2 linked regions of the Cricetulus griseus genome follow. The protein of the gene in region 1 interacts with the protein of each later gene in a biochemical or structural test. Links are inferred from orthologs where the notes say so. Each region holds a gene or a part of one and is shown on either strand. Other genes may lie near its edges. The genes, in order: Atp7b and Atox1.

Evidence for each region.
Region 2: the proteins of Atp7b (region 1) and Atox1 form a complex in vitro, tested with the Homo sapiens proteins (3 studies listed by BioGRID and IntAct). The link is inferred for Cricetulus griseus from reciprocal best matches to the Homo sapiens genes ATP7B and ATOX1.

Annotation. Positions count from the first base shown.
Region 1 is NW_023276807.1:61,580,265-61,596,735, reverse strand, and holds the start of Atp7b (copper-transporting ATPase 2), read right to left. Parts: upstream 7,555-16,471; coding exon 7,471-7,554; intron 1-7,470. Other genes in the region: Alg11 (GDP-Man:Man(3)GlcNAc(2)-PP-Dol alpha-1,2-mannosyltransferase), read left to right, coding at 8,211-8,254, 9,474-9,704, 12,811-13,742, 15,840-16,111. UniProt on the Homo sapiens protein: Copper ion transmembrane transporter involved in the export of copper out of the cells. It is involved in copper homeostasis in the liver, where it ensures the efflux of copper from hepatocytes into the bile in response to copper overload.
Region 2 is NC_048600.1:69,628,619-69,644,310, reverse strand, and holds the end of Atox1 (copper transport protein ATOX1), read left to right. Parts: intron 1-5,805; coding exon 5,806-5,881; intron 5,882-9,021; coding exon 9,022-9,146; 3' UTR 9,147-9,156; intron 9,157-12,417; 3' UTR 12,418-12,546; downstream 12,547-15,692. UniProt on the Homo sapiens protein: Binds and deliver cytosolic copper to the copper ATPase proteins. May be important in cellular antioxidant defense.

The sequences.
Region 1 (16,471 bases):
GCCATACTTGCCATCCCTAGGCATGCAACACTGGTAGCCCCGGGTACAAATGGCCGCCTCCACGACGGGCAACTTCCTTCCCTCCTAGACTAACCTAAGACATGGGACCCCTGGATGTCGGATTTTTATCATCCAAAGACGGGTAAAGTCAATGAGGTGGCAAGGTCGAACTAACGGTCATGAACAAAGACCCCCTAAGAATGCTACCTGTGGCCTAGTCTCACCTCCCTCCTTTGTTAAGGAAAAAATAAGGGGGAGATGTTAAGGGCCATGGGCCCTAATTTATGGGGTTTGAAGCCCATCTTTGTAAGTCCTTTTATGACCTTTAAGTTTGCGGCTTAAGACCAGCTCTGTGAGCCTCATATAACCTGTAATTAGACGGTTTGGCCAAACGGAACTGCTAACTGCTTCTGTTTCGAGAAAGGGCCTGGGGCTTTCGCTGTTCCTGGGAAGACGAAAAGATGTTCCGGCTGATAAGAAGAATTCTCTGGCCCCAGCATACACCAGATGTTCCTTCCTGTTATTCCCCACTTACCCAACTTCCTTGGTGCAGGGCTATATAAGCTCACACTGAGCCCAATAAATCAAGACCTTGACAATTGCACAGATGGACTCTGGTCCCCTCTTTTGCGCCACTTGGTCTCCTTCCCTTCTCTCGCCCATGACTCTTTCAGGCAGCCCCCCTTCGGAACCCTGAATGACTAGACTCGAGGGACGGGTCAGCAGCCTATATAAAGGACATGGAAAAAGAAAGTCCTTGCTCTTTGTCCACTTGCCCTCACTCTCAATGGCAAGTTTGTTCCTTTACTAGTATTAGGGCGTGTTTCTTTAGGATTCTGATGTATACTGTAGACCTAAAATATCCAGCCTTGAGGACAAAACAACTATTGGGTTCTTGACCTCTCCACTGGGGGGCAGCCAGTGTTGGAGTAATAGGACCACAGTCTGTAACCCACTCTAATAAATCCTCCTTATGGGGGGAGGGGGGCTGTTCTATCAGTTGTTTCTCTAGAGAACGCTGACTAATACAGGAGATAAAAGTGTATGTCTTGTGAACATGGTGCATGCATGTGAGAGGAGGACATGGGATGTTTTCCACTGTCATGCTCCATCTTCTCCTTTAAGACAGGCCCTCTCACTGCAATGGAAGCTAGCCATTTTAGCTGGGCTGGCTGGTCAGCCCATTCCTATCAGCCTGTCTCTGCCCCTACCTTCCACAATGCTGGGTTAACCTGCAACCACTGCCATGCCCAGCTTCCTGCATGGGTGCTAATAACTAGGTCCTTCCACTTGCACAAAGGTTCTCTCCCCATCGAGCCATCTCCTCAGTCCCAATATTCTTATTCTTAGGTCGGGTGAGGTACAGAGACATAACCTAAAGTATTACATTTTATAACTGGATATAGATGTTCATATGTATTTCTTTCATATCCAATAACTGACAAAATGAGAAAATGCAAAGGGATCAAAGAATGGAAACAAGGAAACGCAGCAGACTCTTTCTATGGAGGGACATAGCTATACAAATAAAATAGCTAGGGGAAGGCATAAGGTAACGGAGAGACTTCTGAACGAAAGCACAATAGATGGCTTCATGGGCAGAGTGAGGCGGAGGCTAGGAGAGGATAATCGGTCCTCTAGATTCCAGACAGGTAGACAGGAGGGTCAAAGGTCGAGCATGACCTTTGAAAAGAAGGCTGAACTGCCCTCTGATTCCAAGTCAGGAGAAAAAGCAGTTTGTACAGCATGGTGACATGAAGGGGGATAAGGCAGAAGGACTGTAAGTTTAAGGCCAGCCTACAGGACCTGGCCTGGTCTCAAAGAACAAAAAAAAAAAAAAAAAAAGGAAAGGGGGTGGGGTGAGTTGTAGATCCAAATAAAAATTGGTGGGGGGCAGGGCATGTAGAGCCAGGAGGAAAAGCTGGAGAAAGCACCCCCAGTGGTTTCCTTAAAGTAAGAAGGGAAGTCACTTGTTGAGAATGAGAGACAAGACTGAGCCAAGGGTCCCTCCTACAAAAGGTGACGGTCTTTATGGTCATAACCAGATAGATAAAGGGCAAGTCAAAGGCACATTGAGATAAGAAACAAACTGCTAGCAGAGCCAGCTACACAGTTGCCTGACTTTTTGGCACCAGCATAACTTACATTCTGAAAGGGCAGATTTCACAATTTCTGATCACTATTTAGCTAGGGGTTTAGCTCTGTGTACAAGCACAAAGCCCTGGGTTCCATCTTGCCCCGATGGTCTTTATGTCAACTCAACACAGGCTAGAGTCATTCTGGAAGAGGAAAACTCAATTATGGCAAGCCTGTGGGGCATTTTCTTAATTAATGATTGATGTGGTTAGACCCATCCCATAGGGAGTGGTGCCACCCCTGGGTGCGTGGCCATGGATGATATAAGAAAGCAAGCCACGATGAATGAGCCAGTAAGCAGCACCCTCCATGGCCTCTGCATCAGCTCCTGCCTCTGGATTCCTGCCCTGTTTGAGTTCCTGTCCTGACTTCCCTCAGTGTTCCACAGTAATGTGGGACTGTAAGCTGAATAAACCCTTCCTCCCCAAGTTGCTTTTGGTCACAGTGTTTATCACTACACTAGACATACCCCTAGCCACACAAAGAAAAATAAGGCTATTCCACTCTGCTCTGCTGCATCCACCTTTGAACTGCTATTTTCTTCTGTAACTTAGTTTAACAAACAAAAGAGTTAGGGTGCAGCTAATGTGTATAAGGCCTCCATCCCCAACATCACGACAAATAAATAAACATTAACAGGCACTATCAGATTTTCACCTGGTAACATTTTTTTTTCTCATTTATATCGGAACAATAGCGAGTCACTTGACCAAGGATACGTCCTTGATATTGGTGCTGTGGTTATCAGTGAGCAGCGACCATGTCACCACCATGGTCACCCTCTGAAATGACTGTCAGTAAAGCATTTAAAATCCAGCTACGGGGCTGTAGAGTTGGCTCAGTAGTTAAATGCTCTAGCTACTCTTCCAGAGGACCCGGATTTGATACCCAGTATCCACATGGCAGCTCACAACTGTCTGTAACTCTAGTTACAGGAGATCTACCTCTCTTCGGGACACCAGGCACTAACATGGTACACAGATATATATGTAGGCAAAAAACACTCATCCATCTAAAAATAAATAAAAGAAATCTGTAAAAAAAATGAATGAATGAATGAATGAATGAATGAAACTAAAACTATAAAGAAAACAATAAACACAAAATAAAAAGCCAGTCTTGGTAGTGTACACCTATAATACAAGTAAATCACCAGGTAATTACTACCCCACAGAGAGGCCCCTGAAGAAAACACAATGGGTGAAATAATGCTATAATTCATTCATTCTTGAACAACTAAAGCACACCTTTACAAACTATGGAAAAGAAGGAAACCCACAATGGTGACTCGTGCCTATAATTCCAGCAATGGGTAGGAGGGTGTCGTAAGTTTTAGACCAGCCTGAGCTACACAGTAAGTAGTTGGCCAGCCAGCACTACATACCAAGATCCCCATCTCAGGAATAGAACTATATTATTAAATATTCTCACTCCCTTCAATACCACCTGTAGAGTTTTGTTTGGTTTTGACGTTTTGTTGTTGTTGTTTGGTTTTTGGATTTTTTTGTTTTGGGTTTTTTGTTGTTGTTTTGTTTTGTTTTGTTTTTTTGAGACAGGGTTTCTATGTTTATCTGTCCTAGAACTAACTCTGTAGACCAGGCTGGCCTCAAACTCACAAAGATCTGCCGGCCTCTGCCTCCCGAGTGCTGGGATTAAAGGCGTGCACCACCATGCCCGGCTAATTGTATGCCACCCATACACTTAAGAGCTAACTACCACCTATATTGCTATTAGGACTTCCCTGGTCTCTGGAGTAGCAGCTGAACAACCTACTCTGCACTGGGAAAGCATACTGTGAAGGATATGCTTTTGAAATGTTGTTAAGTCTGATCCCAGGAGTTGCGAAATTAAGCCAAACCATTAGTTCAGTAACACCAGATGCTATGACCAAGTACTATGAAGTCCCAATGACAGTGTGTTTTGGAGAAAGCTGGTAAGACTGACCTAGGACCAAATACTAAATTTGCTCTTATTAGCAAGCTTCCTTGATCAAGTTCTTTAACTGCTGCCTCAGTTTCCCCACCAACAAGACCTGGATGCCTTTTGCAGTTCTAGCAGTGCATTTAAGTTAGCACAGATCCCATGGGCAAAGGCTGGTCACTAATTCTAGTAAGTGTTGTTGTGCATGGGCACCTGAACATCCATCTGAGTGACCAGCTATAAGTCAGGGTCTTGAACAACTTTGGGATAGATAGTTCACTACAACAGTTCACAGGACATACATAACAAAGGGCGAAGCACAAGAACAGCCCAGTGGAAGAGATATATAGAGCAAGGGGTTCAATGCCTTCTGCAGACAGGCCACCCACACACCCAGAATCTTCACAAGGTTTACTTCCTGAAAGCTCCCCAAACTCATCATTTAGGAGTTTCATGGAGATTCCATTTCATAGACAGGGTTAATAAAATCATTAGTCATTTGTGACTAGTCTTCAGTCTCTCACCTCATGGGAGGGGTGAGAGAAAGGGTTCTAACACCCAAACCACATGGCTGGTTTCTCTGGGGACCAGACCCAATTCTCAAGCCACCTAAAAGCACATCAAGGTCTGCCTCCTAACAGACCTCAGTAACTTTGAAAGGCTCTCCTTGTGAACAATAAAACATGCTCCTATTACTCTCCCTGAAGAAATCCCAAGGGTTTGGCTCTGGTCAGGAACCCAGAACAAAGATCAAATATTCATTTCCTATTATCACACGTGTGCCTAAGAACTTGGACACTTTCTGCCTTCGGCCCAGAACACTGGCCTGAAACCTGAATCACTTGGATCTGTATTCCAGTGGAACTTCTGGAAGTCTTATCTGATCACCTACCAAAACAGTCTTCTTTGTCCTTATGCTTCCCCATCCAGTGTCCAGGCAGGGAAGCTGACAAGGACCTAATGCCAGGCAGTTCATTGTCAGCATATTTAAAACACATTTGGGAAAAAATTTCCAAGCAACAATCATTTCAATCCAAGTACACAACAGAGCTTAAGATGTGACTATATAGAAATACCTTTGCAAGATACATGTGACCATGAGGGTGGGTTCTATAGCTAAACAGCCAGGAGTCTAGTGTGGTCTCTTGACTGGGATAGCATAGAGGTCAGCAGGCCATAAAACACATGTGACATTCCCCCCTCAAGGTGGGTTCCACTGAGATCTAAAGACCTCAAGATCTCAAGATCTTTAGATCTAAAAGATCTAGAGATCTAAAGATCTAAAGAGTCTAGGATAATCGTTCTGAGAAATTTGGGAGAGGTCTACCTCCACAAATAGCAAAAAGTAAAAAGGTCACCAGATCATTAGCAATATCCATTCTCAGCTTTTCTGGATGAGATATATATATATATATATATATATATATATATATTCCACACACACATATATACATTTTTCAGATATTATATTTTAATCTTTCCCCCTGAGGAGACACCCCTGCTTCATTAACATTCCTGGTTTTCTTAGTGCTTCTCTGCAAGTCCAAGGACCTTTGAGCCCCTCAACACCTACCCTGCTGTTTACAATCACCTTCCCTACTCCATTCTATGAGAATGCAATTTCCCTAAAGAAAAGGTCTTAAGTCATAGCTTGATCCTCAGACCTCAGCATTTCTTACACAGTACTCAAAAAGGCAATTGCTGGACAGCAGAAAAATGGTACTAGAATGATAACAGCAAATGCCAGGGTTGGAGCTGGGGATGTAGTCACTGGTGGAATGCTAGGGCCCCTAAGTAGGTCTTTAGCATAAAATTAAAACAAAGCCTATATCAAAGCATCAAGAGCAAAAGACCTACATAAAATGGATTTGATTTTCTAAACCGCAAAAAAAAAAAAAAAAAAAAAAAAAAAAAAAAAAAAAACCAGAAAAAAAGACAGAAAGGGGAATGGGTTGTGAGAATTTAATAAGAGAGTGAACACAGAGAAATTAAAATACACCATGTAGCACATAGTCAGCTGTGACTTTGGCTAACGACATTATCAGTGTAATTCACAAGAGGGTGAGGTCAACATGGGCCAGAGCAGTTAACCAACCGCTCCAAGGAGAGGCACAGGTCTTGAATCTCATCTGGTTAGATAAAGACTTTGCTCTCTCATGGGGACAGGGCAAAAGATAGGACATGTCTCCTCCTCTGCTCTGGCCACCCCTACCCAGTATGTGCTGTCTTCATGCCATGGATCAAATGCTGTTTTCACACCCTAAGAATTACCTACTCACCAGCCTCTCTCTCTCTCTACCCACCCGTTAACCAACTCTCCTTTTTATTTCTACACACCAGAATCTAAATGAATTTCACTAACAAGAGACATTCAATAAAACTGCTGGATAAATTAACTTCACAGACCTGTACAAAAGGACCAAGCTGCTACATACATACATACATACATACATCAAGTATATAGGACCAGCTGAATGGCTCTGTGGGTGAAGTCACTGGTCACCAAGCCTGATCACCTTCCCCCCACCATACATACATAAAATAAATAATGTTTTTTTTTAATTCAAGTACAAATAAGGCAAGATGGCTCACTGTCTTTAAGCCTGATGACCTGAGTTCAGTTCACATGGTGGAAAAAGAACTCCAGTAAGTTGCCCCTGACCTCCATAATAAACACACACACACACACACACTTAAACGATTCAAGTGCAAAGATCATGTCAACTTAAAAGGGGAAAGAAAGAAAGAAAGCAACCAGCAGGACCACCCACAAGGGAATCACCAATGGACTATGGGGACACCTATGTCACTTTGTGAAATAATCTCCAAAATATACTTACCTGAAAAAGTCGGAGAATATAAAACGTGCTTCCAATTAGGCAAGGCAAAATATTCTAAAGCAACAAACAAACACGCAAACCTTCAAGAATTGTTCACATGCCTGAGACCTACAAGTGTCAGTAATATTTGCGGACAGGAGACATACGTGAAAAAAAGAACTGGAAAACAGATCTGCTTTTCTTGTTAAATATATCTGTACTGTTTGCATTTTTAAGAGATTGAATTAATTAGCTGCTTGTATTACTCAAATGAACGCCTGTAAACTACAGAACTTGGGTGCAGACCTTATGAGAAACCAGGCGACGAGTAATCCACCCCCAGATAACTAGTTCTGGGCAACTAGCGCTTTTACACAGCAACCCCACGCTCAACTCCCAGAAAAGTGCCGGTCTCGAAAAGGTTGAACGCCAGAGGACCAGAGGCACACACAATCTAGACGGCTTTCCTCCCAGACCACCCCCAGAGCCGGGCTCTGTGGGGAACGTGTCCTCAGGCACGAGTCCCGGAGGAACCGAGGAGGAAAGCGCTTCGGGCAGGTGCGCACACCGCGCGGATCTGGGGAAGGAAACTTACTTTCTGACTGGCCTCTTTAGCCGCGACCTGCCTCTCCTGCTCAGGCACAGTCCCCACAAACGCCAACTTCTTCCTGGGATCCATCCCGGAGCCCAAAGGTCACCCGGTCAGGGGAGGGAAGAGCGACTCTACAAGCCAGGGAGAGGAGGCGCGAAGATGCGCATCTGCGAGCGGTTCCTGGGGACCACACGGCTCTGACAAGCGAGCCCCGGCTCTGCGGACCCGGTGCAGCAAGGTCCGCGGTGCGCTGGGGAGGAGATGCAGCCCGGGGCCACAGCCGCAGAACGCCGGCTCCCGCGCAGCCCCCTCTCCACCCCGCGTCCCGCTACTGCGGCCGCCGGGGACCCGCCGCCACCTCCGCAAGAGTGGACTCTGTACAGGGCGATCAGCTCGCCGCCCGCCCGAACCTCCCATTGGGTCCCAACTGGCTGCCAGTTCCGCGGTGGGGGCGGGGCGGCACGCCCGAAAGGGGGCTTCCAGACTGGAAGGTTGCGGGGGGAGGGGGGTCGAGGTCAGGGGAACCCACTTATCCATCACAGGCCACGCCCCCGGCTCCCCCACGCCCATTACCACTGTGGTGCGGCCCAAGTGGGCGGGCCCATGTGGGAAGCGGCTATTTGGCAGCCCGTAGGAAGGCGTGTTGGCAGGAGGGGCGTGGCTATATCGCACGCTTCCGCTGGAGCCAATAGAGAAGAAGAACAGCCAAGCGCTTCCGGGCTGCAAGGTTGTGGGTGGGCAAGATGGCGGCGGACACCGGGAGCTGGCGCCTTTACACGCTGCTGAGGTGAGGAGCTTGGTGGCCTGCACTCACGGGGTGTCCCCTCCTTGGTGGACGTACTTGGGGAAGCCCAGCTAGACTGTGCCGGAGAGCTGTCTTCGTCGTGCCTCAGTTTACCCCGGATGTTACGCCTGCCTCGCTACTGGCCGAGCAGCTGGTTCCTTAACCCGTCGTTGCCGCTTCTCTCTCTGCTTCATAAACCGCTTGGTTAATTCTCTGCTGCTTGACCATCTGTTGACTTACTCTTTCCCGTTTGATGTTTAAATTATGAATACAATTTTAAAGATAAAATATCGTTTTCTGTGTAAAAATTAGGGAATAGAAATAATAAATAGGAATGCTAACCACCCGGGGATTAGCACTGTTGTTATAGGTGCGTATTTCAAAAGATGTTCCTAACTTATCATGGCCTACTGAAGTTCCGTCAACACCTTTGTACTTTGTCAGGTTGAAATTTTAGAGCTAGCAGCTGCCTCGATGGTGGCGCACGCCTTTAATCCCAGCACTCAGGAGGCAGAGGCAGGCGGATCTCTGTGAGTTTGAGATCAGCCTGGTCTACAAAGCTACACAGAACCCCTGTAACAAAAACAAAACAAAAGGCTAATTTGCTCTAGCACATTATTGTTTCCCCTGCTGTATGGGTTGCCTCCAGCTGTGTACTGTGTACATTATAGTGGTTAACTTTCTGCATTATAACGGTGATTTGATGAGTAATCCATAACTTTAGATTGTAGTTACCTGTCTTTAAAGCCTTTTAATTTAAATATGGGTAAATATTGGCTAGGAACTAAATGTTTACCTGGCATGTATGAGGCAATGAATTCAGTCACCACTGGAGGGGGAGGAAAGAGTATTAAAAATAATTGGATATTTTTTTATTACACCAGAATATTAAAATCTTTTATTACTTCAAACTAAAGAGTCTGTCATTGTCCCCAACAGTTGAAGCTTTTTTATTGATCCATTTTTTAAAATGTATTTATTCAAGTTAGGGATCAAGCTTGTTTCACATGTAAGTCCCTTGTCCCTCTCCCTCCCCTCACCCCCATCCCTCCTCTCCCATCCCCAACCTACCCCCAACCCCATCCAATAATTGGATATTTTGTTGTCAGACTTATAAGCTACAGAAATTCTCTCTGATACTAAGATATTAAGCAAATATGTAATTTGTAGCCTTATTTTTAAATTGACAGCAGGTTGATTTTTCACCTTTTATTTATTTCAGATTTTTTTATTCACTATTCTTTCCTGGACTGATTATATGTGGAGTTCTGTGTGTATGTTTGGTCATTGTCCTTTGGATAGTCAGGAGACATCTACAGAGAAAGAAAAAGTCAGTCTCAACCAGCAAAAATGGAAAAGAACAAATGGTGGTTGCATTTTTCCATCCTTACTGCAATGCTGGCGGTGGAGGAGAAAGAGTTCTCTGGTGCGCTTTGAAAGCCCTGCAGAAAAAGTAGGTATGCATCTTTCTTAGCTAACACACTGCACTGCTGGTCTCCTAAGAGCATAGTGAATTTTAGTTTTGGCACAGTGTTACACAGCTGTCATCCCACCTTCTCTAGAGGCTAAAGCGGGAGGATTATTTGAGCCCTGAAGTTGTAAGCCAGCCTGGGCAACATAAGGAGAAACACCTCTCAAAAGGAAAAAAAGGCTAGCTTTTAAAACATGCTCTTATTTCTCAGATAAGCTACATGAGACTGGAGAGATAGCTTAGCGGTTAAGAGCACTGACTGCTCTTCTAGAGGACCCATGTTCAAATCCCAGCACCCACAAGGCAGTTTTAAACTGTCTATAACTCTGGTTCTAGGGGATCTGACACCTTTGTACCAACACACATAAAGATTTTTATTTTTTTTAAAAACTACATGAATAAAACCTATATGAGACTAGACCCTTCAACATCCCATCCTAGATGGAGAGGGACTCCTAAGGGCCCACCCATTCATGAGAAGCTAAAGGCAGTTAATGTTTGCTGGAGGTGAGGGACTTACAGTCCTCTGTGCTGTAGGACTAGTAAGTTGCCCTTGTTAAAGAAAAAAAAAGTGAGTCTCCACTTGTGCTCACACTGGCAACCCTAGTTAAATACCCACACACCAGAAAACACATGAAGGTAGAAAAAAAAAAAGATTTGTTAGGACAGGGAAGGTGATAAGATATGGGGGCAAGGGGTACGATCTTTGTGTGTCTGTGTGTGGTAACAGTGTAGAAAATTATTTATTTCTACTTGGTTTTATCAAGACAGGGACTCATTATATAGCTCTGGCTATCCTGGAATGTAGACCAGGCTGACCTCAAACCCACAGAGATCTGCCTGCCTTTGCCTCTAAAGGAAAGATTAAAGGCGTGCACCAATATGTACAGCTGAAAATAATTTTGTAAAAGTACGCAAAAACATAAAAATCTCTGGGGTTTGTATGAAACCTATCTAGGTGAGAACATATTCCCAGATCCCCTTAGAAAAACAACCCCAAATTGTCTTAAATGCAAGTAACTTTTTCCTTAGTTGGCATGCTTTTAACTGAGAAAAATTTGCAATCTTTACAAGAAATGAAATAAGCATATAGTTTGGGCAAGCATTTGTGTATGCTTTTGTGCTCATGCATGTAGAGGCCCAGAGCTGATGCTGTGTGTCGTACTCAGTTGCTCTCTGCTTTTTATTGAAGCATGATCTGTATCTGAACCTGGACCTCAGAAATCCTGCAAATCGCCCAGAGAATCCCATGTCTCTGCCTTCCAGAGTGCTGGGGTTACACACGGCTGCCACTATTTTTTTTTTTTTTTTTCATTTTGGTTTTTCAAGACAGGGTTTCTCTGTAGCCTTGGAGCCTGTCCTGGAAACTTGCTCTGTAGACCAGGTTGGCCTCGAACTTACAGAGATCCATCTGCCTCTGCCTCCCGAGTACTGGGATTAAAGGTGGGCGCTGCCACCACCTGACCCAATGGCTGCCACTTTTATGTGGCTTCAGGGGTTGTAAACACTGGTCCTCACACTTGTGTGGATACACTGTATAAAATACACTATTGTGAGCTGGGTGTTGGTGGCGCACGCCTTTAATCCCAGCACTCGGGAGGCAGAAACAGGAGGATCTCTGTGAGTTCGAGGCCAGCCTGGTCTCCAGAGCGAGTGCCAGGATAGGCTCCAAAGCTACACAAAAAGAAACCCTGTCTCGGAAAAAAAAAAAACAAACAAACAAACACACTATTGTGTAATTTAATAAATATTAATGTAGTTTAGTATAATCAGGATATAATTATGTGTGTGTATATATATGTGTGTGTGTATATATGTGTGTGTATATATATGTATGTTACTTATAATGTGTTTAAGAGAATTTGCTACATTAGAATTAGTTAAGTACTGAGGAAGTCTGACTGAAAATTGGGGTACCAAAAAAGGGAACAATATGTTTATAACTACTTTAAAATAATTTTTTATTTTATGCTTATTATTACTTGCATGTATAAAGTGCTCGATATGCATGCACTGCCCACAGAGGTCATTGGATCCTTATGAGCTGCCATGTGGGTACTGGGAACCGCACCCAGGTCATCTATAAGAGCAGCGAATACTCTTGACCACAAGACATGTTTCCAGAGCCAGGAATTAATTTCTAAAGGAGGTATTACAAATAAGGGGGAAAATACTAAGTAATGCTTTAGAATTATGATTCTGTCAAGGCTGGAAGGGTGGCTTAGCAGTTTGGAGTGCTTGCTGCTCTAGCCCTAAGGGATCTAACACATTCTATCAGCACTCCTCCCCCACTACACACACACTTTAGCTTTTTTATTTTCTGTGGTTCTAAAGGTTGAACTCAGGACCTTGTATATGATGAGCAAGTGCTCTCTAGCTAAACTACTTAAAATAAATTTTTTAATATTTCCTAAAAGTGAAAACCTCATTCATATGTCAGAAGTTACTGTTGGAATTTGCTCCATTTAAAACCCATAGTAGAAGAAATGGCAAATAATTAGATGACATGATATCTTAGTCTCATCAAATGACTGTAGCATAATACCTTAGACTGGATGGTTTATAAACAAGAGAAATTTATTGTTCGTAATTCCAGAGGTTGGGAAATCCACAATCCAGAGCCAAAGGATGTGACTCACTTCATATGTAGCCACTGCTTGCTGCATCTTGATGTTGTGATGGAGTGAACAGACTCCTTTAGTCCTCTTATAAGGTACCACAAAGGGTCTGAGTGTAGCTCAGGGGTGAAGTGAACATTACACCTATACAAGGTTCAGTCTTCAGCAGCAAAAAATAAATTTAAAAAGATACAATTCCTATTAATCCCATTTTGAGTCCCTTTCTTTTTGTGCCACTCAACTAGAGACTAGATTTCAACTGCAGAATTTGCAGGTGACAATCAAACTACAGCACATGGTCATTTCAAAAATTAAGAGTAAAAATCTCAAGGAAGGGTAGAGTCAGTAGTATAAATGCAGTAAATGAAAAAGGGTAGAAAATGTTTTCAGTATAAAAATAAGCTTGCTTGTGACTATGAGGAAATTGTAATGTTTGGCTTAGGTTTAACCTAAATTACATTTTGTTTCAGGTATCCTGAAGCCGTTTATGTTGTATATACTGGTGACATTAATGTCAGTGGTCAACAGATACTAGAAGGTGCTGTCAGAAGATTTAACATCAAGTTAACTCACCCAGTGCAGTTTGTTTTCTTAAGGAAACGCCACCTTGTGGAGGATTCTCGGTATCCCCACTTCACATTGCTAGGCCAAAGCCTCGGATCTGTTCTTCTTGGCTGGGAAGCTCTGACACAGCGTGTTCCTGATGTTTACATCGATTCAATGGGATATGCATTCACACTGCCTCTGTTTAAATACATAGGGGGCTGCCGAGTTGGGAGCTATGTCCACTACCCCACTATCAGCACTGACATGCTCTCTGTAGTGAAGAATCAAAACACTGGATTTAATAATGCAGCTTTCATTAGCAGAAATGCTCTTCTCAGCAAAGCAAAGCTCATCTATTACTATTTGTTTGCTTTTGTTTATGGTCTTGTTGGTTCTTGCAGTGATGTAGTCATGGTGAATTCTTCTTGGACACTAAACCATATTCTCTCACTGTGGAAAGTTGGCCATTGCACTAACATTGTTTATCCACCTTGTGATGTGCAGACATTTCTGGACATCCCCTTACGTGAGAAAAAGGTGACCCCAGGACATTTGCTGGTTTCCATTGGCCAGTTCAGGCCTGAAAAGAATCATGCTTTACAGATCAAAGCCTTTGCTAAGATGTTAAATGAGAAAGCAGCTGAGTCACACCCTTCACTTAAACTTGTCCTTATTGGAGGGTGTCGAAACAAAGATGATGAGCTTCGAGTAAGCCAGCTGAGAAAACTATCTGAGAATTTGGGAGTCCAAGAAAATGTGGAATTTAAAATAAACATTTCATTTGATGAATTGAAGAATTACCTATCTGAAGCAACAATTGGGCTGCATACCATGTGGAATGAGCATTTTGGGATTGGTGAGTTTTTCTTTCCAACAAGTTTGTGTGATGCTGCAAGATACTCATTAAGGTCCTTGTCTTAGTTACTTTTCTATTGCTGTGACAAACACCATGACCAAGGCAACTTATAAAAGAAACATTGAGCGCTCATGGTTTCAGGGATAGAATCCATATTAGTAGCACAAAGGCATGGGGGCAGAAAACAGCTGAAAGCTCACATCTTAATCCACAGCATGGAGTCAGAGAGAGGCAGAGAATGGTGCCAAGTCTTTTGAAATGTCAGGGCCTGCCCCTCTGATGGCCACAGCTCCTAGTCCTGCCCCTCTGACACACCTCCTCCTCCAAGACCACAGCTCCTAGTCCTGCTCCTCTGACACACCTCCTCCAAGACCACAGCTCGTAAGTCCTTCCCAAACAATTCCACCCACTAGGAACCACATATTCAAATACATGAGCTTTTGGAGAACATTCTTCAACCACCACAGTTCCTGTGGTTGTTCTAGAAACCCCTACTAAGGCTGTAAGTCACTCTAATAAATCCTTGAATTCATATACTTAGTCTTTCAGTTCTGTTCCCTTAGAGACCCCTGACTAACACAGAGTGACACAGGCAGCTGCAGATGTGTCGAAGATCACTGGGGAAAGTGAGAGCAAGAGGAGCCTCAGTAAAGAGCTGAGCAAGCACAGGTGAGCAGATAGAAGGAGGCTGCAGAAATTGTCACAGACTATAGTTTGCAAAGATGGAACTGGGGCTTAGTGACAAAAAGGAAAGGAGCTGGGCCCCAGGCTGCACACTGAGGAAAGAAAGAGGCCATCAGTGTCCTAGGGAAAGATCAGTTGGTAAGAGAACAAGAAGCATAGGTGAACTGTGGTAGATGGAGCGCTGAGTTACAAGAGAGCACATGGAGTCTGTGAATACAGACAGCATCGTTGCTAGGTCTCTTTATGAAAGGAAGTGAAAGAGTACAACTAGGGAAGGCTGGATAGAGTAATTTATACCTTCACATACGTCATGTGGCAGGCAATAACCAAAACTTACCCAACTCCACCTTGCTGTTGAACACAGGCAGCTGTGTGTTTTGTGAGCAGCAGCACACTTTAGTTCTCAAAGATTGTTTACACTTTACTTTTGGTGTTTTCTATCTTTTTGATACATGTTGATCCTGTATCATCTTGGCAATATTGCATAGTTTTCTACTTTATGCAGTATGTTCTTTACCCACTCCATTGAGACAGGGTCTCACATAGCCCAACCTGGCATGGAACTTGTTGTGTAACTAGGGATGACCTTGAACTAATAAACATACCCTAATATCTTCACCTGACTCCATATTGGTAATTCGCTCATTAGACCTCAATCTACTTGTCTGTTTTAATCAAGAATAAAGCAGCATTATCATGACACTTTGAAGATTAAAAGGCTTAAAGGCATGGTTGCTGAGGAGGTAACTCACTGAGTATACTGCTCACTGTGCAAGCAATAGTACCTAGGTTAAGTCCCCAGCACCCATGTAAAAGGCATGTTTGACAGCATACCTGTGAACCTACCACTGGTGATAGTGGTGGAGAGTCTAATGCAGTGGTTCTCAGTCTTCCTAATACTGTGACCCTTTAATACAGTTCCTCATGTTCTGTTGACCCCCAATCATATCATTATTTTCATTGTTACATCATAACTGTAATTTTGCTAGTATTATTAACAGTAAATATCTGTGTTTTCCAGTGGTCTTAAGTGACCCTTGTGAAATGGTTGTTTGACCCCCACCCCCCAAAAGGGGTTCAATCTACAGGTTGAGAACCACTGGTCTAGTGGATCTTTAGCTCATTGGCCAGACAATCTTGACAAAACAGTGACCTCTAAAATCATTGAGTGTGTGGACAATCAGTGGAGAACAATAGAGCAACCAAAGTCAACCTCTGGCTTGCATGGGTACCTTCACAGGCAAGCACACACAAAAAACCTTATAATTGTTTTATTTTATATCATGTTAAATAAGCAAATTTCTAGACTCACAAATATTTAATCAAATGTTTCTGGGTCTCAGGGTTTTATTAAGGTTTGTGTTCATCAAAAACTTAAAGGCTTGTGTATTTTTTTGTTGTTGTCTTTCTCAGGAATTGTCGAGTGTATGGCAGCTGGCACAATTATCCTTGCTCACAATTCAGGAGGCCCAAAGCTTGACATTGTCATTCCTCATGAAGGACAAATAACTGGATTTCTGGCGGAGAGTGAAGAAGGCTATGCTGAAACCATAGCTCATATTCTCTCTCTATCTGCAGAAAAGAGGCTTCAAATCAGAAGGACTGCTCGAGCGTCTGTGAGCAGGTTTTCTGACCAGGAGTTTGAAGTGTCATTCCTGTCTTCTGTGGGGAAGTTACTTACGTAATGCCAAATTTGTAACATTCTAGATAATTTCTACAAAATGGAGCTGAGGGTGTGGAACAGAGGTAGAACCTGTGATTGTTGTGTGCAAGGTCCTGCATTCCATATCCAACATCAAAAAGAGGAAATGCTTCATTTTGAAACATCGTGACATGTAAATATTTTCTAAATGCATTCTGTATTGTAATAAAGACAACCTGAGCAATATTCTCAGCAATGTGTATATACACAAGGAAGTATTTAACAAAATGACAAAATTAGCTGTATGGAAAAAGTAATCTCATGTAGCTTAATGTGTATTAGTATTTTGTCTCAAAATCTGAACAATGCAAATCTCAGAGAAAAAAATTATCAAATTTTTATA
Region 2 (15,692 bases), on another chromosome or scaffold:
CCTCATAGCCTCATTGCTTATTAATAAAGGCCTTTGGAACATTACACAAGATAAGAAAAAGCCCAGTGTTTGTTGGAGAGTATTTATTGGGCGCTAGTTGGGCGCTAGGTAGATAGGATCCAGGATGAAGCCAGATCACCTGGGAAGTGCTGGGCAAAACCAGTTGTACTGCTTGCCTTTGAGCTCTGATCTGTGTTGAGTTCCTGAGATAATGGTTAGGGCCTTGGAGTCGGGAGCATTTTTCTCCTGGTGCCTCTGAACCCAGTGGGCATATTTTAGCGGGCTTATCGTCTGTGAGTGAACCAGAGGCTCCCACCTGATGCAGACTTAAACATCTCAGGTGGCACTTGTGGTTCTTACCCTTTGTCTTGAGAGACTTTTCCTCAGATCGCACAAAGCACAAACAAAAGACTTGATAAAGTCCATCCTACCAGTCAAGCCAGTCTGTCCTGCAGTGTGAGGCTCATTCATAACCCTGGGATCCCAGAGTCAAGGCTGCCAGGCTCTCCTGGGGAGAGCAGTGAAGAAAATAACTTGCAGACCCCTCTATTCTGTGTCTGCCTCTGGGGACTTTCATTGGAGTGAGGCATATAGTAGACACCTTAGCTCAAGACCAACAACTAAAGGTATCTTTCAAGTGCCGCCTCCAGTCTAGCCAGGGGAATGAGTTTTACCAAAGGTGGTTTGCATGCCAAAGCTTAACCCAGTCTATGCCCTATGGCTTGCCAGCTGGGCAACTTCAGGCAAGATGTTCTGTCTCTCTGTGTGTGCCTTCCATCTCCTCATCCATAAAATAGGGATTGGAAACTGACCTTGCAGGGCTGTGTTTGGTATTAACTAGAATGATGTCATCAAAATATCTAACACAACTAGTGACCCATCCGGTCCCCAAGGAGTGGTGTACCTCCTGTGTAGATGTAGGACAGGCTTCCACCCCATTTTAACGTGGACCTCAGTGGTTAAAAGTTAGAGTTTTGTGTACTCTGTCCAACCCAGGCCCTGTTACTCATGAGCTGCATCTCCCTGAGTCAGTACCCAACCTCCAAGCTTCAGCTTTCTCATCTCTTGGGAATAGGAAGAGTTTCCTGGCTTATGGAAGCATTGTAGCTATCAAACAAGACAGTGTACAAGGTGTTTAGAAGAAGGCCTGGCACATCAGAGATAATTAGATATTAGTAATCAGGAATCCAGACACCAGTGTCCAAAGACACAATGTTCTCTAGAAGAACTTCTCCTCTTCCATTCCCACTGTTCCAGTTCTAGAGGGTCTGTTAAAGAATTGTACCACTTACCGGCTCTCTGAAGTAATACTGTATGTAATAATACATAATACATAATACAGCGTGTTGCCGTAGAACATTAATATATACGTCAGAGGATCCATTTTGCTTGTTTTCTGTTACAGCATCTCACACTGTAACTCAGGTTGGCCTATAAGTGAATATGTAGCCCAACTGATCCTTGTAGCAATCCTCCTACGTAGGCCTCCCAAGTGTTAATTTGGGGCCTGTGTATGCTCTGCCATTCTTCCATGACCCTTTTGTAAGAGGCACTGGGGAGACATCCAGGGATGGAGCAGGTCTTGAGATAGTCCTGTGAAGACTGGATCACCCTATCCATTAGGCAGAACTTTCTGTCATCCTCAGGTGTAAACTGCAGAGTTTGTAGGCAGAGGTGTAGGGAGTTCTGAGTTGGAGTGGAGTGTTGGCCTCCTGTGAGCTGCCCACCCCCCCACCTCTGTACTGTGAAAGACTTCCTTGTTAGGGTCTTCAGTTTGGAGCTCAGATAACTGTTGACTTTAGATCCCTGAGCAGCAATTACTTATCTTCTGAAACCCCCTTCAGAGATTCTTCTCAGAGTCAGTTTGTGGAGGATGGGCTGTTATAAAACCAACAAGATTTCCCTGGAGCAAAGAAAGCCTCTCTAGGGCTCCTGCCTTTGCACCCATGGCCTCATCACCTTAGTGACCTCCCAGCAAGAGGAAATGAATAGTTCTGTTTTCAAGCTAGGAAAATACTGCAGAAAGGAGTTTGAGGGTGGTAGGATGGGTCAGCTGATAAGGATATTTGTAGCAAGCCTGATAGCCTCTGACATCCACACTTACTCAATGGCACACACTCACACATGCAAATAAGTGGATAAGTATAGTATACTTATTATCTTTTAGGTTTATTTGTGTGAGCGAGAGTGCATGCGCACCATTTATGTGCAGAGATAGAAGAGCTTCAGATTCCCTGGAGTTGGAGATACAGGTGGTTGTAGTTCAGGGAACCAAACTCAGAACTTCTGGGAAAGTACAAGTAGTCTTAACTACTGAGCTGTCTCTCTAGCCCTATTTATTATTTGAAATGAAATATTTTTTATTATTTATTTAAAAATTAGTTGTTTTGTTATTGGGGGGGTGGGGAGATTGAGACAGGGTTTCTCTGTGTAGCCCTGGTTGTCCTGGAACTCACTCTGTAGACCTCTGGCCTCGAACTCAGAGGTCCGCCTGCCTCTGCCTCCTGAGTACTGGGATTGAAGGCATGCACCTGGCTTTTATTTGCTTGCTTGTTTAGGTTTTTCCGGGCAGGGTTTTTCTGTAGCTTTGGAGACTGTTATGGAGCTCGCTCAGTAGACCAGGCTGGCCTCGAACTCACAAAGATCTAACTGTCTCTGCCTCCCGAGTGCTAGGACTAAAGGCATGCACTGCCTAGTTCCTGCTTTTTTTTTTTTAATTATATGTATATGTGTTTGTCTGTGTGGGTATGTGTACATAAGTGTAGGTGCCTGTGGAGTCCAGAAAAAAGCATCAGATCCCCTGGAGTTAAGAGTTACAGGCTGTTGTGAACCTGATAATGTAGATGCTGGGATTCAAACTTAGGTCCTTTGGAAAAGCAGTATGTGTTCTTAACTGCTGAGCCATCTCTCCAGCCCCCAAATGTAATTTTCAATATCATGTGCTTGTAGCAAGTGTAGCCTAGTTTATTTGGTAGTGCTGGAGATTGAGCCTAGGGCCTTAGGTCATGGCAGGCAAGCTTTATACCACTGAGCTACAATCCTTCAGAAGGTAATAGTGCTAGCTGCTCTTGCAGAGGAGCCAAGTCCAATTCCTGTCACCACAGAGCAGCTCACAGCTACCTCTAATCCAGTTCCAGGGGATGCTACATATCTGAGTTCAGGGAAGTCCTGGTGTGCACAAACTCATGAAGGTACACACATATACACATAAAAAGAATGAGTAAATTTTTTTTTTTTTTTTAAGAAGTATGCTGGATACAGCGGTGCATGACTTTAATCCCATCACTCAAGAGGCAGAGGCTGGCAGATCTGTGTAAGTTTGTGGCCAGCCTGGTCTACATATAGGGAGTTTCAGACCAGCCAGAACCTGATGCCACAAGTGGTGTGTGCCCAAACATGGTGCATTAAAAACATTGCATGAAATTACCTTCAGTCTGTATGTATAAATATGATTTGTGTTTAGACTCTTCCCATTCCCAAGATATCTCATTATGTGTATGCAAATATCCTCTAATTAGGGACATTTCTGCTCCCAAGCACTCAGGTAAGGGATGCTCAGCCTGTCTTAGAGCAATTTTGATGAGCTTCATGGAGAAAGGTGGGCACTGAATTTGAGTATGTTGTTGGGCACTTGTTTATACAGTACTTGGGATTCTGAGGCAGGAAAATCGTTTAAGGCCCAGGGTGGACTGCATAGTGAGTTCCAGGCTAGCCTGGTCTACATTAATGAGATCTTGTTCTCAAAGCAGCACCTACCAAAAAAACAAAACAAAACACCACCAAAAGAAGGGAGAGATAGTCGTTGTTTTGTTATTGTTTGCAGTGCTATTACTGGTGGTTGGGGTCTGGGCTGGGTGTTTATATTTTTTAGCATCTCATTCAAAGAATTAAAATGAATTAAAGGTGTGTTCCACCACCACCCAGCTAGTGCAAGTGATTTTAATCATATGCATACCCAATTATGCATAGGCATAGGTGGCAAATAAGGAATTCTCTCTAAAATTTCACTTTGAGGACAACTTGCTTCATTTTCCATGCACTCCAAAACAGTCTAAGCCTGATCAGTCCCTTGCTAGTAGATTCCGGATGGTGGTTTAGGATGTTTGAATGGAAATGGGAAAATTGGGGATTGCTGAGGGGAGTAACTTATTTCCAATGCTTAAAGCAAGTGTGGGGGTCAGTCTTGGGTTGCTAACAGGTTGCTAGGTTCATGGTCAAGAGACAGGTGTGTATAGTCCAAGCCATTCCTTATGCTTGGCTGTCTCAGTACTGGGAAGTAAATCCCAGGGCCTTGCACATGCCAGGCAAGCAATATACCACTGAATTACATTCCCATGGCCTGAGGAAAAAATTACATTGTTTTTCAAAAGGAAGAGAGAAATGGAAGAAAGTAATTACTTTCACCTAGAGGCACCTAGTCCCATGATCTTATTGACTATCTATTGTCCTTTAGTTATCCATTGTCCTTTAATACTTATCCCCAAACCTAGAGTCAGGACCTGGGAGTGGCTAAGCAGAGTGACTAGGCTTGGCTTAGGGTCTCAGGGAACAACAGTGTAGTCCAGAAGCTTGCCCAGGCTGTTGTACTCCTTGACTTTGACCTTGGAGACTTTGTTCCTCACCAGATGGACCAAGGGTTGAATAGTAAAGTGTCTTTAGTATGGCAGCTAGCTTGTTCCAGAGTGGCCCAAGAAGGGAGCAGGGCAGAAGCTGATATTGTGACCAGCTTAGTCACATAACGGTACTCCAGCCTTATGTTGAATACACACAGGCTTACACTTCGATGTTATAGAATGAACTCTCAAGGGCATAAATACAAGGAGGCAGAGAAGATGGAGTGGAGGTCACGGTGGAGCTGGCTGCCATGTCAAACCCTGTGTTTGTCCCATTCTCCAGCATGGAGAAGGGACTGGTACCTCATGAGTTAAGCTACTGAGGTCATACAACTTGCAAGTGTTGGAGCCCAGATGTTGTCATTTCCAGTTATTGTGAAGGAAGGGATTATTGGCACAGTTCTTCTCTGAAAAAACCAAAGGCCCAGAAGTTGTCCGGTGATCATGTTGGTCATCCACTCACTCCCCTGTGCCTGGTGCTGTTCCCAGTATTTGGGGTGCAACAGTGAATATTTGTACTTGAACAGAAGCATAGTCTTGTGTACCCTTGCCTGCCTTGACTTGTTAGATATCATGGTGATCCAGGACCTCAGGAACCTGGGATTCCCTTATGTCTGCCTCCAGTGTGCTGGGGACCCTGGGAAATCCTTCTGCTACCTTTGAGCATGAGGTACTTGAATCAGAGCAGTGGTGGCCACATACCTGAGTAACCTGCCTGCTGGCATAATCGATGTCCCCATCCAGGCTGCTGAGCAGACCTACAGCCTGTGTAGAGTCCCTGGTGACTCCAATGTAGAAAATAATGTTCTGATATGGAAACAGGTCCCAGATTAGTTCTGCTGGGAGTGGGGTAACCTGTGGCTGAGTCCCCTGGTCCTGAGGCGAAGCCCACAGCTCACTCATGAAGCAGTAACATTGTGGGAGGATGGGAAAAGAGCTTCTCCCACAGACCTGGATCTGTTCATCCTATACCAGACCTTGCAAAAGGTATCGTAGAGATTGTCTCTGTTGGTACAGCCTGTGACATACAGAAACCCTGCATCCCCCCCTCTTATCTGTTGACTAGACTGGGATCACAGACAGACTTCCAGTGAGACTGTGCCCATTCTCTGCTCCCTGCCAGCCCCTGACTAGCCCTCAGACAATGTATGGGTCACTGCAGCGCCTGGCTCATAATCTCCCTTTCTTGCAGAAGCACGAGTTTTCCGTGGATATGAGCTGTGAAGGATGTGCTGAAGCCGTCTCCCGAGTCCTCAACAAGCTGGGAGGTGAGCATCTGTCCGTTGGAGAGAGGATGGGGAGATGGTTACATGGGAGTTATGTTCAGATACATGAGGCCTACAAGGATTGACTGCTGGTCAGCTGGTACTGAAGTGTGTGGAGGGCCTAGTGCTCACGTTGGCCTCTGCTCAGTGGCTTATGTGGAGATGTCTTGTACCTCACTGCAGCCACTTCAAGTTTCTTTCGTTCACTACACTCCTCCCCTCCTAGTTTATTCTTTCTTTCTTTCTTTATTTTTTAAGACAAAGCCTTGCTAAGTAGGCCTGGCTGTCCTGGAATACACACCATATAGATTAGGCTGCTTCTAAATTTGTGATAACCTGCCTCTGCCTTCTAAATGCTGGAATTACAGACATGTGCCACTGTGCCACCATATGTTTACAACTCCATTTTGTTCATTTTTTCACTCCTCCCCCTCCATCTCCGCTCCTCCCTCTCCCCTCCCTCTTCAGGGTCTCTGTAGAGCCCAGGCTGGTCATGAACTCCACCATCCAACCTCTGCTTGAGATGCAGGCACATACCACCAATGAGCAGTGGCTGTCTTCCTTTTATGAAGGCAGGAACTATTCAGAGAGTTCAATGACTTGACTGGATTCACAGAGCCAGCAGGGCAGAACTGGGATCTGGCTTTACAGCATCCAGCTCCAGAGTCCTTGAGGTGGTGGTTAGTACGTTGGTGATCTCTAGTGTGATATTTGGATTAACAACAGCCAGGCAGGGAGATGCTTTCCAGTAAACCAGAAGTCCAGGAGGATCAAAAGTTTAAGGCCAGCCTGAACAATTTAGGGAGAACTTATCTCAAAGTAAAAATGACCACAGGAGGGAGGGGGTATAGCTCAGAAGTCAAGTGCTTGCATAGCAAGTGTGACATTCTAGATCTAATCCACAGTACTACAATAAAATAAAAATAATAAGTTTAAGCCAGGCATTGCATTGGTGGTACATGCCTTTAATCCCAGCACTCAGGAGGCAGAGGCAGGCAGATCTCTGAGTTTGAGGCCAGCCTGGTCTACAGAGTGAGTTCTAGGACAGGCTCCAAAACAATACAGAGAAACCCTGTCTCGAAAAACCAAACCAAACAAAATAATAATACTAACAAGTTTATAAAAGCAAAGCAAAGTTGGGTGTGGCAGCTCACATCTGTAATCCCAGCAATTGGGAGACAAACTAGGCATTGCCTGGACTACAGAGTGGTACCCTATCTCTACAGATCATAAATAAAACCTAGGTAACAATACCACTGCATGTTGAGACTGCCCACATATCGTCAGTCCACAGAGTGGGACTTTACGAGGTGGAGAGGGGTTGATGACATCAGTGCCCAAGGGGAAGGGCCTTGCCCAAGTCCCACATTGAGAGTGAGTCAGTGACACAGTGAGTCGTCTGAGCTTTGTAAGCTAGAATATCTCCTTTTATGTTTTGTTTTTGTTTTTAAGACAGGGTCTCCCATTGTAGTCCTGGCTAGCCTAGAACTCACTATGAATACCCCAGAGTAGGCTTCAAACTGTTTCATAGGTGTGTCCAGGCAGGCTTGGGTGCACTGACTATAGAATGGTAACAGCATTGGGCAGGCAGAACTGATCCCCTGTCCTTGGAAAGATTAAGTCCATGAGCAGATGCAGAGACCCACACACTGGGAAGACTGGGGAGCTGTTAAAAAACAAGGGACAAAACCGGGCCTGTCATCACAGGAAACCGAGACAGGAAAATCATAAGCTCGGGCCTCCCTGATGTGTAGATCAAGTTCAAGGCTACGCTGGGTAACTTAGACTGCCTTAAAATAAAAAGTATAAAAAAGGCCTGGGGCTGAAACTCAGAGTGTTTGCTTGGCATGTTTGATTCCCTGGGTACCAGTAGTACAAAAACAGGGGGGAAACGGTTGTAGGGGAGGACGGGTCTTCAGTGGTAGGATACACATGTGAGACCCGAAGGGAGAGGGGGCAGGGTGTACAAGCACTTGATGACTCAGTGGGTAAGGGTGTTTGCTGCCAAACTTGTTTTAACTCCCAGGACCCATATGGAAGGAGAGTGCTGTCTCCAAGTTGTCCTCTGACCTTAACACATGCGTTTTTGTTTTGTTTTCTTTTTTTTTTCTCACACTCACACACATGCATACACTCAACACATGCTCTCATTTATGCTCACACTCACACACACTCACCCTCTCACATGCTCACACATGCTCATATACAGATTCTTTCACATACTTGCTAACAGATTCACACATGCTCTCACTAAAATAAATGTAACAAGAATTTGAAAGAAAGGGGCTGGAGAAAGAGTTGAGCACTTGTTGCCCTTGCAAAAGATCCTGGTTCAATTCTCAGCACCATATGGAGGCTCACAACCATCTGTAACTCTAGTTCCAGGGGATCCAAGGGATCCAATGCTCTCTTCTGACCTCCATGAGTACCACACATATGTGGTACACAGATACACATGCAAGGAAAACACACACACACACACACACACACACACACACACACACACACACACACATATGTAAATCTGGGGCTGGAGAAATGGCTCCATGGTTAAGAGCATGTTCTTCTCTTGCAGAGGACCTAGCACCTACATCTCATGGCTCACAACCACTCACAACTCCAGATCCCATAACCTCTGCCCTTTAGGGCACCAGCACTCTTGAACATGCCCACACAGAGAGCCATACACATATACATAGTTAAAAAATCATTTCAAATAAAATTATAAAGAAAGGGAGGGAGGTGGGCTCTGTATTTCTGAATTGGAAGGATAGCTTGAGCACAGGAAAGTGAGGTAGCGATGGCAGGTTTTGGGGTGGGAGAGCTGGATGGGAGGAGGGAAGGAAAGGGAGAAAAGAGAAAAGAACTCAGGGCTGAGAAATAGCTTAGTAGTGGAGTGCTTGCTTGATGCTTGGGGTCTTGAGTTCAATCCCTTACACACAGAGAAGAGCCTGTAGCAGAGCCTGCCTGCCTGCCTGCCTGCCTGCCATGCTCACAGTGCCTGAAACAGAAAGAGCTTGCTGCTGCCTGGCTCCAGAAGGGCCTGGTGTTACAGGGATAATTAAGGAGGATGACCTCTTTCTTCCAGTGAGTGGAAGGGTCCTGCTTCCCCCTCCCACATCCCAGTTTCCTTCTTCCTGTAGGAGTGCAGTTCAACATTGACTTGCCCAACAAGAAGGTCTGCATTGAGTCTGAGCACAACCCGGACACCCTGCTGGCAACCCTCAACAAAACAGGGAAAACCGTCTCCTACCTTGGCCCCAAGTAGCCAGGACCTGGTGAGTCCCTCTGGATGTGCTGAAGGGGTAGGTGGGTGAGGCTCCAGCCTTTCTTGCACAAGCCTGTTGCTTCTCCAGGGGTTCCGTGGGTTGCAAATCCCTCATCTGAAATGCTTGGGCCCAGAAGCATTTCAGATTGCAATTTCTCTGGGTTTGGAATCTTCACCTAAACTCACCCATAGGGCATCCATAATAGGAAAACTCTAAATATTTTTGCCATCCAGTTGTCACTCAGGAAGTTCTCATTTTGGAACACACTGAAATTTGGGTTTCTGGATTCGAGGTGTTCAGCCCACTACCCCCCTATGGAAGGGTCACAAGTACATCATTATTGTCCAGTACAAACCAGAAGCTCAGGCGTCTTGGTGGCCACCAGTGAATAGACAGAGCTCCCATGTTATATCCCCAGGGTCCCTTTTGGGACTTGAGGGGCACCTTGCCTGGTCAGCAGGGTCTAAGTTTAGAGTATCTGACCTTCTTGGAATGGTGAGCCTCTTGCTTTGGTGAAGTGACTTCCCCTTCACAGTTGATGCCTGTGTTCTGAGTCTTGTACTCCTGTACAAGAGTTCATACTCAGGTGGGGTATTGATGGAGCAAACCTTTAAACCCAGCACTTGGGAGGTAGAGGCAGGCAGATCTCTGTGAGTTCAAGGCCAGCCTGGTCTAAAGAGCTAGTTCCAGGACAGCTTCCAAAGCTACACAGAAATCCTGTCTCAAAAACCAAAAAAAAAAAAAAAAAGTTCATGCTTACCCTGCCCTTTCCTTCGGCTTGGAGCTGGCTGCCCCTCTAGCCCAGCCTAGTGCAGAGTCAGTGACCCATCTAAGCTGACTTCCTTCCGCTTTACGGGTCCCAGGGAGGCAGGAAATGGCCCTGTGCCAGTGCCCTTCCCTCAAGAAGCATGACAGACCTCACCTGGCCACCCAACAGTCCTTCCCACTGTACCCAGCAGTCCTCCTTCCCTCTGCATTGCATCTGACCCATGAATTATGATGGCCACCTCTTTGGTGGTTTGTATCCTCTCTGGAACTGAGAAAAATGAGACCTGGTGAAGGGACATGACCTGACCAGAGCCCAGGCAGAGGCTGGTATGAGCTAGGCCTCCTGTGTGAGCATTCTCAAGTGATGGATAGAATATCACTGACCCTACAAGTGACTCATGAGAGCCCTTGGCAGGGGCCAGCTGTAATCACCTGGGGGTAGGAGGGTCCCCTTTGAGTATTGCCTCCCTCTTCCTCAAATGTGAGCATTTGAAACCCAAGCCATGTGTTCTGTGTTACATGGTGACATCCAGCAAATCAAAAGACATGGATGAGCAAGTTAACAGGAGGCTAAAGCAGGAGAGGAGGAACAAGAAGCCAAGGCTAATGTGGGTTACACAGAGACACCCTGTCTAAAAAAAAAAAAAAAAATTAAATAATAATAATAATAATAATAATAATGCCAGAAAGAGGGTTTAGCAGGTGAAGGTACCTGCTGCCAAGCCTGACAGCCTGAATTCCATCTCCAGGACCCACATGGTAGAGAGAACTGAATCTCTCAGGTTGTCTTCTGATTGCCACACATTCAACGCATGTGCGCAGATACACTAAGCTTAGACAGACAGACAGGAGCCATTGTTCCCCATGCCTCTTTAGTTCCTGGATTTGCTTCATGACCCAGGAACAACCAATGTGAACAGCAAGCAGTCTAGGGTTCAGGTGCCAACTCTATTCTCAGTCCAGGCATTTTTTATTTGCCTGAGACTTGATCTGTGAAGTGAGTGAACCCCTCCACTCTGTCCCACTGCCTTTTTGGGTCCCAGTGCAGCCTCTTTAAGGTTTGTCTTCTCTGGGATGATGACACCAGCAGTTTCTTCCATGCTTCAGACCTGCACATCCAGCATGGTCCCTGCATCCCTGGGTTTTGTGGACCAGGTGAGGGTGGACCACTGACTTCTGTCTCTTTCAAACAACCCTATTGTGTGTCGGACCTCCATGTATAGTTTTTCTTTGTTTGGGTTTAGTTTGTTTTATTTTTGAAAAATCATTTTTTGAAGCAGGGCCTCATTGTGTAGCACAGGCCATCTGGAATTTGCAACAATTCTGCCCTGGCCCCTCAAATGCTGTGATTCCTGGCGTGAGCCCCCATACCCAGCTTCTCCATATAAGATTGTATTTGAGGGCCAAGAAGATGGCCCATCAGGTAAAGACACCTGTGTGCAAACCTGGTGACCAGAGTTTGATCTCTAGAACCCACGTAAAGGTGGAAGGCGAGAGCAAACTCGTCCTCTGACCTCTACACCCACACAACACCCACACACACCACACTAATGAAAATGTTCTGTTTAATTTTGAAAAAAAAAAAAAAAACAAAGATTCTATTTGATAAGCATGATCTCTGTGGGGAAGGACTGGAAGGAAGAGTGGTCGTGTCAGCCTGCAGTTTGGACACATAGTCTAGACACAGAAACTCTTGCACATACAGTAGCCCCTGCTGACAGCAGTGTGACACTTCCAGCTTCACTTTGTGGCTTTTGTTATCAAGGTGAAAATGGAGTTGACATGATATAGTTAGCTGTGATTGTGGGTGCCATTCATTAACACTGTGTGCATTCACAGCGGAGCAGTCACACTGTGGTACCTCCTTCAGAACATTTTCATTATCTGAGGAAAACACCTCATGTCTGTCAAGCAGTGGTTGTCCATCACCCTCACTGCTTCCTCTGATGCCAGTCTGCTGCTTGCCACTCTGGGCTAGCCTGGAGACTTTCTACAAAAGGAATCCTACAGTGTATTTGTTTGCCTGCTTATTTGAAATAGAGTAGCCTAGGCTATCCCTGAACCAAAGATTTACTGAAAATGATCTTGAATTTCTGACCATCCTGTCTTCACCTCCCCAGGCTGGAATTACAGGCATGTATCACCATCATTATGCTTATTTTTGTTGTGCTATCGTTCTTGTTTTAAGGTTTCATGTAGCTCAGGCTAGCCTTGAGCTTCTACCTCCCCAGTGTTGGTATTACAGAAATCTGCCATCAAGCTCAGTTCTGACTTTTTATGGTGGGAGGTGTCAAACATGTTTAAGCACTATATATAGGGGTCAGCTCCTGCTCCTCACCCAGACCCAGAGTTAGCAGATCTAGTTACTTTGTAGCCTACAAAGTTTCACCTGGGCATACACTGATCACCATGGGCAGTACAGAGAGGAATCCTGAGATTGAGGTGCTATGTTTCCTATTCACAGTAGGTGGTGCCATTGATCTAATTTTCCCTCTCTCCTAGGCTGTTGATCTGGTCTCCTGGCAGATTTGGAACACCAACTTCTGTCCAGCTCAGCCATGCCCAGACAGACTCTCCCTTGCGGGCTCCCTGCCAGCTTCCTTGCAATAAAGTCAAGCTGCATTTGTTGAAGAAGTGTCTATTGCGTGTTCTTGGTACTGCTGGCTCACCTACAAGCTGCTGTTGTGTTTGCCTATGTTTCTAGAACCTCCCACTGGCAGTCAGGTGCCCATCTCTTGTCCACTCTCTGCTGTGTGATCTTGAGCAGCCCACTGCCCTCTTTGGGCCTTTCTGTAATGGGAATATCATTAGACCAGATCAATGATTTTCTTTCTTCTCACTACATAGACTCCATATTTGAAAAGCTATTAAGTGACTTGCATTTAAGAAATGAAACTCTGAAACAGTTAGATGGGAAGCTGCTGAAAAAAGGCTGCCCCAGCAGGGTTCAGCTCTAGTAACTCCTAGCTGGTCTACTTAACCTCTCAGCACTCAAAGCCTGAGAGAAAACCACACTTTTGGCAAATGATTGTGATGGTTGTGACAAAATGAACAAATTAGTGTGAACTATTTGGAGTAGAGAAATCCTCCGGCAAGCATCCACTACTTACTTTTATGTATTTCATGGATGGAGGCATGGCAACCCCTTAAAGGGCAGTGCCTTTACAGAGCTGCTTGGTGAAGCAAAGGACTGTTCTGGTTTGTGTAGCTTTAAGAAAAACAGGGAGGTATTACTGTTCCCTGCTGTGAGGCAGGGAACCAGAGAGATGCCAAGATGGACCCCAAGACCATGCAGGACACACTTGGTGTCTGATATGTCCTTGAATATTCTAGACAAATTTCAGAACATGGGGAGAATTGATCTGAACAAAGTCATTGCCTCATGACCTAGACCTGGGTGGGGGAGCTGGAAAAAGGAAACCACACCTCACAAAAGACGTGGCATCTTTTTGCCAAGCTACACTGACCAGAATTCCAGTAACTTAAGCCAGAAGAAAACCAAGTGGCTTTCTTCAAGTGACCATTGTGCATAGGCAGGTTTGTAACATGTTTGTTTCACTTGCTTTTATAAGACAGGGCATCACTGTGGCCTGGAACTCAGAAGCACCTCTGCCTCCCAAGTGCTTGGATTAATGACATGTACCACCATGCCCAAACCTTAAGATTTATTTATGAGTATGTATGTATCTTTGAGTGTGTGTAGGTACCTGAGGACACCAGAAGAGGACATTAGATCTCTTGGAGATAAAGGCAGTTGTGAGATCCCTAAGGTGGGTAAAGGAAGCTAAATGTGAATACCCTGGCATTTACTGGGCACTCAATTCTGCTGGACCTGGAACAAGATTAGCTCAGTCCTTAGCCAGCCATGACCTTGGACTAGTCAGTTAATCTCTCCTGTGGAAAGTTTTTTCATCTGGACAATCACAATGCTTTCACTCTAGGGAGCTTGGTAGCCAGAACCAAGACATCCTTTCACTCCTTAGCAGAGGCACTAGCCTAATGTGCTGAAACACAACCATGATACAGCACTCCCACAGTGAAGACAAAGGATCTGAGTGCAGGGCAGGCCTCAGATACAGAGTTTAAGGCTGCCTACCAAGTGTCAGGCCTTTGTGGTCCCTTAGGGCCCAAGGGCCTCTTCTTCCCAAGCCTCCTGTAGGTGTTTTTTAACCACTAGATGGCAGTATGCCTTGGATTTGGTCATCCTGAAGGACAAAATTAAGGAAGCACTGATCCCAACTAGAACAGAAGAGGCAAAGATCCCTCCAAGGAGTCCCTAGCCCTAAGATGCACCCCTATCTCAAGCCTGGTGTGTTTCCAATGAACTAGGCAGCCTGGACCAGCTCACCTCAAAACGGAACCCAAGTTTAATATCTTGTGTCTTCCTCAATTGTCATTTGAGACAGGGTCTCTACTGAACCTGGAGCTTGACAACTCCAGCTAGAGTGTCTAGCCAGTGATCGTCCACCTTGCTACCTTTCGTTTGGTTTGGATTTTTTTTTTTTTTTTTGAGACATGATGTTGCTGTGCAGATGGTCTCAACATATCCCCAGTTGCTGTTTTTTAAGATTTATTTTTTTAAGTGGGTGTATATGTGTTTCGGTCTGTTTGTCTGTGGATATGTGCCTTGAGTGCAGGTCACCTTAGAAGCCAGAGGCATTGGATCCCCTGGAGTTGGAGTTACAGGCAGTTGTGAGCCACCTGATGTGGGTACTGGGGATTGAACTCAAGTCCTTTGAAAGAGCAATGTGATCCCTTTAACCACTGAGCCATCTCTAGCCCCTGTTTATTGTGTTTTTGAGACATAGTCAAGGAGCACACTAAGTGGTCAAAGATGGCCTTAAATTTATGGACCTCCTGTCCCACGTGCTGGAATTGCAAGCATGCCCCACCATGCCTGGCTTATGCAATGCTGGGGATCAAACCTAGAACTTTGTGCATTCCAACCTAACCCCAGCCTTAGTGCAGGTTCCAATTTTTCAAAACTGCTCACTGTTGCCACCAAGTTTTCCCAAGGGCATAGGGAGACTCCTGTAGAATAGACCTCTGAGTCTGGAGAGAGAGTTCAGGGGTTAAGAGCACTGCTCTTCCAGAGGTCCTGAGTTCAATTCCCAGCACCCAACCACATGGTGGCTCACAACTATCTCTAGTAGTATCTGATGCCCTCTTCTGCCATAAAGGTGTACATGCAGATGGAGCACTATATGTGTGTGTGTGTGTGTGTGTGTATATAATGAAAAAAATCTTTTAAAAATATAGACTAGACCCTTCCAATCTGATGCACACACAACATGCAAGGCAAAGCAAACCACCAAACCAGGGCCTTGCACATGCAAGACAAGCACTACCACTAAACTGCTTCCCTAGCCCTGTTTGTGCATATGTATGTATTGCTTATATGTGTAGTTAAGCATGCCTGTGAGAGCATGAGGTCAGAGGAGGGGGGTCAAGTATCCTGCTGTATCACTCTATGCTTTTTCTCTTGTGACAGAGCTAAAATCTCACTGATTTTAGAGCTAGGCCGGCAGCCAGCAAGCCTAAACTACCCTGTCTGCACCTCCCATAGCACTAAGGATACAGCTGCATGCAACCATACCTGGCTTTTTATATGAGTGCTGGGATTCTAACTCAGGTTCTCCTGCTTGTGCAGCAAGCACCCTTACCCATGGAACCATCTCTCCAGCCCCGAATGTTTGCTTTTTAAGGAAGAATCTCACTGTAGCTCAGGTTGGCCTCCCAATTCAAGATTCTTTTGTCTCATCCTCCTGTGCTGGGAT